Linked DNA regions of Macaca mulatta. The protein of the gene in region 2 binds, or shares a complex with, the protein of the main gene of each other region. Links are inferred from orthologs where the notes say so. Each region holds a gene or a part of one and is shown on either strand. Other genes may lie near its edges. The genes, in order: DOK7 and MUSK.

What was found.
Region 1: the proteins of MUSK (region 2) and DOK7 are in contact, whole or in part, in a crystal structure (PDB 3ML4), measured with the Mus musculus proteins. The link is inferred for Macaca mulatta from reciprocal best matches to the Homo sapiens genes MUSK and DOK7. Residues at the interface, in NP_035074.2 of Mus musculus: Leu547, His548, Pro549, Asn550, Pro551, Met552, Tyr553, Gln554, Arg555; in NP_001335203.1 of Mus musculus: Leu154, Ser155, Asp156, Leu157, Arg158, Arg159, Tyr160, Gly161, Gly172, Thr173, Arg174, Ser193, Asp197, Val200, Arg201.

Annotation. Positions count from the first base shown.
Region 1 is NC_133410.1:3,679,883-3,683,693, forward strand, and holds part of DOK7 (protein Dok-7), read left to right. Parts: intron 1-3,282; coding exon 3,283-3,402; intron 3,403-3,811. UniProt on the Homo sapiens protein: Probable muscle-intrinsic activator of MUSK that plays an essential role in neuromuscular synaptogenesis. Acts in aneural activation of MUSK and subsequent acetylcholine receptor (AchR) clustering in myotubes. Induces autophosphorylation of MUSK.
Region 2 is NC_133420.1:47,621,258-47,625,068, forward strand, and holds part of MUSK (muscle, skeletal receptor tyrosine-protein kinase), read right to left. Parts: intron 1,159-3,811; coding exon 895-1,158; intron 1-894.

The DNA.
Region 1 (3,811 bases), on a different chromosome or scaffold from region 2:
CCTAATGGCTGCCAGCAGGTATGGATGGTGTGGTTGGCATGGATGACATGGTCGGCGTGTTCGACTGTGCAAGGTGAGGGTGTGCAGGGTGCAGGGCGGGGACAGGGACAGGCAGAGGCAGCAGGAGGCTGAGGAGGGCTCCCCGCTCTCTCCTGCTCCCCGCTCTCTCCTGCTCCCCGCTCTCTCCTGCTCCCCGCTCTCTCCTGCTCCCCGCTCTCTCCTGCTCCCCGCTCTCTCCTGCTCCCCTCAGGCGGTTCCCAGGGAACAGAGGCCGTGCCAGGGAAGCAGCACTGGGTAGAGGATGCTGGGGAGGGTCGGCCTGGGACAGCCGCTAGAAAGGATAGGCCCCACCGCGGCAGCAAGCGGGCCAGCCCCAGGCAGGGTCATTGCTGACAGCTGGAGGGAGTTGGGCTGACCAGAAGTCCCAGACCCCACTCCACAGGATGTCCTTGTCAGAGTCAGCTGGGAGCTCTCAGAAAGCTCTGCTGTCAGGGCCTCGGCCTGCAGCTGTGCCTCCCAGCTGTGCCTCTGCAGGTGTGTGGGGGCCTCAGACCACCTGGAGGTGCTGGTGGAGCTGGGACACTATGCTGGGCAGCACCCCGCCGGAGGAGCCGTGGGCCCAGCCCCTGCAGGCTGGAGTCATGGGAAGGTCTGGGCTGGTGGGGTCGTCTGCCCAGGCTGGCAAAACACTGGCGCCCTGTGATCACAGGGCTCCCACGACAAAGCCCTGCGGGCAGCATCCTCATGCTCTGGGCTTTTTTTTTTTTTTTTTTTTTTTTTTGTTTGAGACGGAGTCTCGCTTTGTCACCCAGGCTGGAGTGCAGTGGCGGGATCTCAGCTCACTGCAAGCTCCGCCTCCTGGGTTTACGCCATTCTCCTGCCTCAGCCTCCCGAGTAGCTGGGACTACAGGCGCCCACCACCTCGCCCGGCTAGTTTTTTGTATTTTTAGTAGAGACGGGGTTTCACCATATTAGCCAGGATGGTCTCGATCTCCTGACCTCATGATCCGCCCGTCTCGGCCTCCCAAAGTGCTGGGATTACAGGCTTGAGCCACCGCGCCCGGCCTGCTCTGGGCTTTTTGCCATCCTCCTGTGCTGAGTCTGCTGTGACCCACCGGAGGGGCCGAGAGATGCAGGAGGTCCAGCCCCTTGGTCTTCTGCACGTGGACACCAAGGCCCAGAGGCAGCCAGACCAGCCAGCAGCAGGAGGGAAGGGCTCAGAGGCCCGGTGTCCGCCACGCTCCGAGCACGGCGTGCATGTTACCTTCTTGGCCCGGCCTCCACGGGGGTGCACCGTTGCTGCACCCTTTTGCAGACGAGGTTGAGAGGCTCAGGGGGTGCATGGTGGAGCTGGGAGTCGATCTGTGTCTTGCCCACCAGCTACTGGATGGGAAACGGTGGGAGGTTGTGTCCTGTGTCCTGACCCTGGTGTCACCGAGGGCCGCTCTTCATCCCAACTGCAGGGCACTGGCTTTGTGGGGGGCCCTGGTCGGAACGCCCGAGGGCTGAGGGACAGCGGTGCTGTCCTGTCACTGTGCTTGTCTTCAGCCTGGACCCTCAGCACACCAAGGAGCCAAGACTGGCGCCTGCTGTCCTGCCCACGTGGCAGAATGTGTCGGTGAAAGCGCCAGGAGCTGCCAAGCCGAGTGGCCTGTGGGCTCCATGGCCACCAGCAGCCTGTGTTGGGAGGGACTGGGGCCTGAGCTGGCACAGCCTTGGCTGCCATTGCCTTCCACCCTCCCAGGCACAGGTAGGGAGGGGACAGGAGAGAGGCTTGTACTGGCCCCATCCCTGTCCCTGGCAATGCTACAGATGGGGCCACAGGGTCATGGGCTGGCAGGGCCCCAGGCTGACCCGGGCAGTGCCTTGGGGCGGCCATACCCGGAGGCTGGGGGAGGCTCCTCCAGGTCCTTCTTGCGTTCCTGGGCCGGGTGCTGTGAGCTCTCGCCTGCCCGTGGGGAGAGCCCTGTTCTGAGGTCCTGATGGGGCCTCCTGTTGTGCTCAAGGGCCCCAGCTGGGCGCCTGAAGGTGTCAGCAGAGGACAGTGTCTTATCAGGGATGGGGCCTCTTCAGCCTAGATGTGAACCCGGACAGGGACACCATTGCTTTCTGTTTGTTTCTCCGGAACCCTGACTACGGGGTCAGGATGTCCGGCTGCAACCTCCGCCAGGCTCGGTTCTGTCCACCGAGGCTCTGATCCAGGTGTCCCAGGCTGGGGACTGTACCTTCCAGTCCTCTGCGTGCTGCAGAATTTGGTGTAAACTTTCCATGCTGCCACTGCTCCTGGATTTTGGGGAGAGCAGGTCCTTGGACCTGTTTCGGCTCAGTCCTGCAGGTGCCCCCAAGGTGGGTGGCAGGAGGTGTGTCCTGGAGGCCCAGAGGAGGCCACCTGGAGCAGGACGGGGTCGGTTTGCTCTTGTGCTTGTAGCTGTGGCTTCCCTGCCAGGGAAACTCTTTGGGACGGCTGTGGCCGTGGGTGCCATGGATGTGGAAGGGGCGGGGTCTTGAGCCCTGCTGTTTGGAGCACGGCAGCCACTCAGCCTAGTGCCCACATCACTTAGTGCCTGGGACATCCCAGCACGGGCGGGGGGCTTGGGGACCAGGGCGGTGATGCTGAGGCTCGGGACAGCGGTGCCGAGGGGCCAGTGAGAAGGGAGGTTTCCTGCCACTCAGTCCCAGAGGACCCAGAGGACACAGGGACGATGACCAGAGAGGGTGGGGCTGCTGCTCCCTGGATGCAGCCCTGAGGGAGGGGCTGGGTGGGGCCGAGGGTCCGCAGACCACTGTGCTCTGAGCCTCTGGCACAGTATGAGGCTCCATCCAAGGCCCCAGGGAATGGGACCGCCACAAGGTGGGCGGGCATTTCCCCAGGCAGAGAGGAGCCTGTGAGAAATGGGCACTGTGAATCAGGGGCAGGCAGCCCCTCTTGCAGTGAGACTGGCCCTGGGGATGGGGGAGGGGCTGGCCATTTTTGGAACAAAAAATTGAAAACCTCCGTGGCGAGGAAGAGGGGTCTGGCCTGGGGTCCTGGTGAGTGGACAGGTGGCAGGGCCATCCATGGGTGCAGGGACCCAGCAGGGCGGATGGTGGCCTGGATAGGGGTGGTGTGGGTGCAGCATTTGAGGCCCAGCATCTGGGCTGAGGCATGGGGAGAAGCGGGGACTCCCAGGGGATTGCCACTCCACGGAGGGGGCCACCACCGCGTCAGGCTGGGCCTGGTGCCTGCGGGCAAGGGTGGGCGGTGGGGGCCACTTCCTCCACTGAATCTTCTCTCTGCTGCAGACCCAAGCCCCCCGGGACCCTCGACTGTGGAGGAGCGCGTGGCCCAGGAAGCCTTGGAAACCCTGCAGCTGGAGAAGCGGCTGAGCCTCCTCTCGCATGCAGGCCGGCCGGGCAGTGGAGGTGGGGCCAGGGGCTGGCCTGGGCTGTGGGACTTCAGCTAAGTCTCCAGTGGGAGAGCTCAGGAGGCTTCCATGCATGTGTGGGGGCTGCTGGCTCCCTCTGCTCATTCATGCATTCCTTCTCTCTCCTGCTCATTCATTCCTTCCTTCCCCCCAACCCACTTATTCATCCTTCCTTCCCCCACATTCATCCTTCCTTCCCCCACATTCATCCTTCCTTCCCCCACATTCATCCTTCCTTCCCCCACATTCATCCTTCCTTCCCCCACATTCATCCTTCCTTCCCCTACATTCATCCTTCCTTCCCCCACATTCATCCTTCCTTCCCCCACATTCATCCTTCCTTCCCCCACATTCATCCTTCCTTCCCCCACATTCATCCTTCCTTCCCCCACATTCATCCTTCCTTC
Region 2 (3,811 bases):
TTTTTTTTTTCCTACATAAGGAGTATTTAAAGGTGAAGATAATTCTATTGAACATAAGTTTATCAATTTCAATATTTAAAAAGTATGAGAATTTTAAAAAATATCTATTTACAGTATAATTCCCTCCTACCCCACCCAAACGAGGCAACAGCATTAGAACTTAGAATTTTGGATGGAATGTACTTTAAAATAACATTCTGAAATGCTTGGCATGATCTCATTTATTGACAAAATGTACAGTTTTTATTTTCTCTATCTTGGCTTACTAATGAGGTCCATGTTAGTTTAAGATTTCTCCTTTCATTTGATAGAAATCTGGGATATTTATGGATACCATAATAATGTGAGCAATAACAAGAGTAATGGAATATGACACCATTTATGACATTTTCTAGAGGTTCTAAGTACTTGTATTTTAGGTTATCTTCAGTGATTTACATGATAGACATTTTGTCTGATTAATTACCTCCTATTTGTTTCTTTGTTTGAGATGGAGTCTCAACACTCAGGCTGGAGTGCAGTGGTGCAATCTCGGCTCACTGCAACCTCCGCCTCGCCGGTTCAAGTGATTCTCTTGCCTCAGCCTCCCGACTAGCTGGGATTACAAGTGTGCCACCACACCTGGGTAATTTTTGTATTTTTAGTACAAACGGGGTTTCACCATGTTGGCCAGGCTGGTATTGAACTCCTGACCTCAAGTGATCCACCCACCTTTGCCTCCCAAAGTGCTGGGATTACAGGCATGAGGCACTGTGCCCAGCCACTACCTCCTATTTTGGATGAAAACCGCTTTTTTCCTTTTACTGTTGCACATTACAACATTTTTCAAAAACTCTTTCTGTTGTGCAGATAGAAAAATGGAATTTTTCCTTTGAATTATTTTTGAGATTTTACCTGCAAATGGGAATAGGAGTCGGCACTACTCCAGGACTGCACTCCTGGAAGACGTGGTTACACAACAAAGCCTCAGCAGCTGGCCTGCAGAGTGGGCTCACTACTTTCAGTTCATTCCAGGCCGTGTGGACCAGCAGCTCTTGGGCCTCCTCAGGGTCCGCATAGGAGGTGTTGAGAAAAACAAGAGCGTCTTTTGCCAGGACTGCATTACACACCTCCCCTCTATACTGGGCGCAGTAGCCTTTGTTATCTTTCTGTGGTTTACTGAAAGAAGAAATGAACAACATTTCTAATCACATGCTATTTCTTGGCATTCATTCTGCTTTTCTTTCTTTCTTTTTTTTTTTTTTTTTGTTTGTTTGTTTTCACATCTGTGTCACAGAAATAGGAGAAAATTGTACTAGCAAATTGGTTGACATGTTCCATTTGAATATGGTCTTCATTTCCAGCTGCAATTATATCATCTGTAGCTACTCCACAGGGCTATTGAGAAGGCCAAATGTGATGATGGATGTGGAAAGCTTTGGGAACTATAAAGGACTGAATAGATTTGGGTATTTTTATTATTCTACATTATAAATAGAATCTGACTACTCTTAGTTAAGCCACCTTACAGACTGCTTGCAAAGAAGCTGATATAAGCAAAGATGCATCTGGAAGACATTTCATCATGATGGTTAACAAATAATTGAGCGTAATAATAACTGCTCTCAGCTAAAATATTTGCAGCTTTAGGGACATAGTTTATTTATGTGTTATGATAGTTTACCTTAGTTTTTTACAACATATACATCTTTGCAACACCTTCCATACTCAGATTCTCTCGCTCACACTTCTTCCCAGAATTCCATTAAAGAAAAAGAAAGTGATGTAGGGAGGAGAAAGCAGAAATATGGCTTCCAGAGGAGCCAAGTAGAACCTTCAGCTTTGCTGTTTTCTCATCACATCTCATCACATGGAAAGTCAACTGGTCACCCAGTGCCTCAATGATCTATTCTGTTGAGTGATACAAGTAATTACTCTGAACTCAGATTATTGTGTGTTAATGGGCCATATATCAGGGAGAAACCTGTAAATGCTAGTGCTAGCACAAACATAGGATTAAAAACTTATCTGCTATAATAACTGAAGACAATTGGGAGAATGGAAAATGCTGCTGGTACTCTCTTCACGTATCTACTTGTTCCCTTAATGTAATGCTGGGAATTATAACAACTCATATACTCACCTGACAAACATATGTGGAATACTTATTATGTGTAGGCACTGTGATGGTCTCAGTATTTTCTTATGTCTTCTATCAGATCTTCCATAGTGTTAGTAATGACAGAAAAGTCTTAAGTTGTATTCTTATTTAGATTTGTACAGCTATTGAATTTAGCTTTTCATTGTCTTTATATGAAGAATTTAAAGTAAGAAAATTAAACAAATTAGAATTTGTGTCAAATTTTAAAATTGTTACATGACCCCAGTTGAATTTAAAAAATTAATACTATAATTACAAACCATCACTGGCAGGTCTTTAAAGCAAATTCATTAGAATGAGATCTACTACATTCAGGTGAAACAATGAACTTCCAAGAAACACAGCTATGCTTTAAAACAATATTTTGTAATATAGAGTCTTCCTTTAATTCATACTAGCCTTTTACTAATTAGGCAGCATGATTTTTACTGTATCCCTTTGTTTGTTGGGGATATTTAAAATGAAGGCCTTGAATAAGAAAGCACAAAACTCCATGAAAACTTTCTCAAGGTAAAGGTGAGAAAACCCCCAGAGAAAATTAGACAGAAACAAGGATGCTGTTGTTCAGGCTCAATAAATGACACCCCAAAGTGAAGGCCTAAGAAGCAGCCTCAGAAACAGATCTTCCGCCCTCCTGTCTCTCCTCTCTTTCTTCCCCGAGGCAAATCTTAGACACTAGAATCCCTCTTTTCCAAGACAGATCATAGACATCAGAATGCCTTTTCCTCAAGGCTAGCCATAACACCTAAATATTTACTCTACCCACCCCCCCCCGCTTTTCTGTATAACACCTGACCATAAAGAAATTCAGACCTTCATTCCAGAGGTGCGAGTGCTGCACAGGGGGGCTGAGAAAAATCGGAACAGGCAGGATGGGCTAGCTTCCCCACTCAGCCTGTTAGCATTAGATCACATTGTGTCTAATCATATTTCTACACAGTTGTTCATACTTCATCGAACCTAAGCATAAAAATGGATTGCTTCGGCTGGGTATGGTGGCTCACGCCTGTAATCTCAGCATTTTGGGAGGCTGAGATGGGCAGATCACTTGAGGTCAGGAGTTTGAGACCAGCCTGGCCAACATGGAGAAACCCAGTCTCTACTAAAAGTATAAAAATTAGCCGGGCATGGTGGCAGGCACTTGTAATCCCAACTACTCAGGGGGCTGAGGCAGCAGAATCACTTGAATCCGGGAGGCGGAGGTTGCAGTGAGCTCAGACTGCACCACTGCACTCCAGCCTGGGTGACAGAGGAAGACCCTTGTCTTAAAAAAAAAAAAAAAAAAAAAAAAAAAGGATTGCTTTCCCTGTATCTAGGGTCTTCATTCTCAAGGGTCCCAAGTTATATAAAACTGTGATCAAATAAATTTCTTATCCTCTTCTCTTGTTAACCTGTCATTATTATACAGGTGTCAGCCATGACTCTTAGGATGGGAAGGAAAGGAATTAATCCCCATCCAGCTTCTACACTGTGCTTTAAGAAACTATATAATAAGTAGTGACCAGGAATATTTCAAACTGGTTTACAAAATGGCCTCACAAGTTGATGTAATATCTCAGTATAAAGGGGGGATGAATACAATCATGTGTGACCTTTTATAGGTAACAGAAAAAACCCCACCATGTAAAAATTAAATATTTCCCAGTGTCTCTGAGCTGAGAATTATTCATG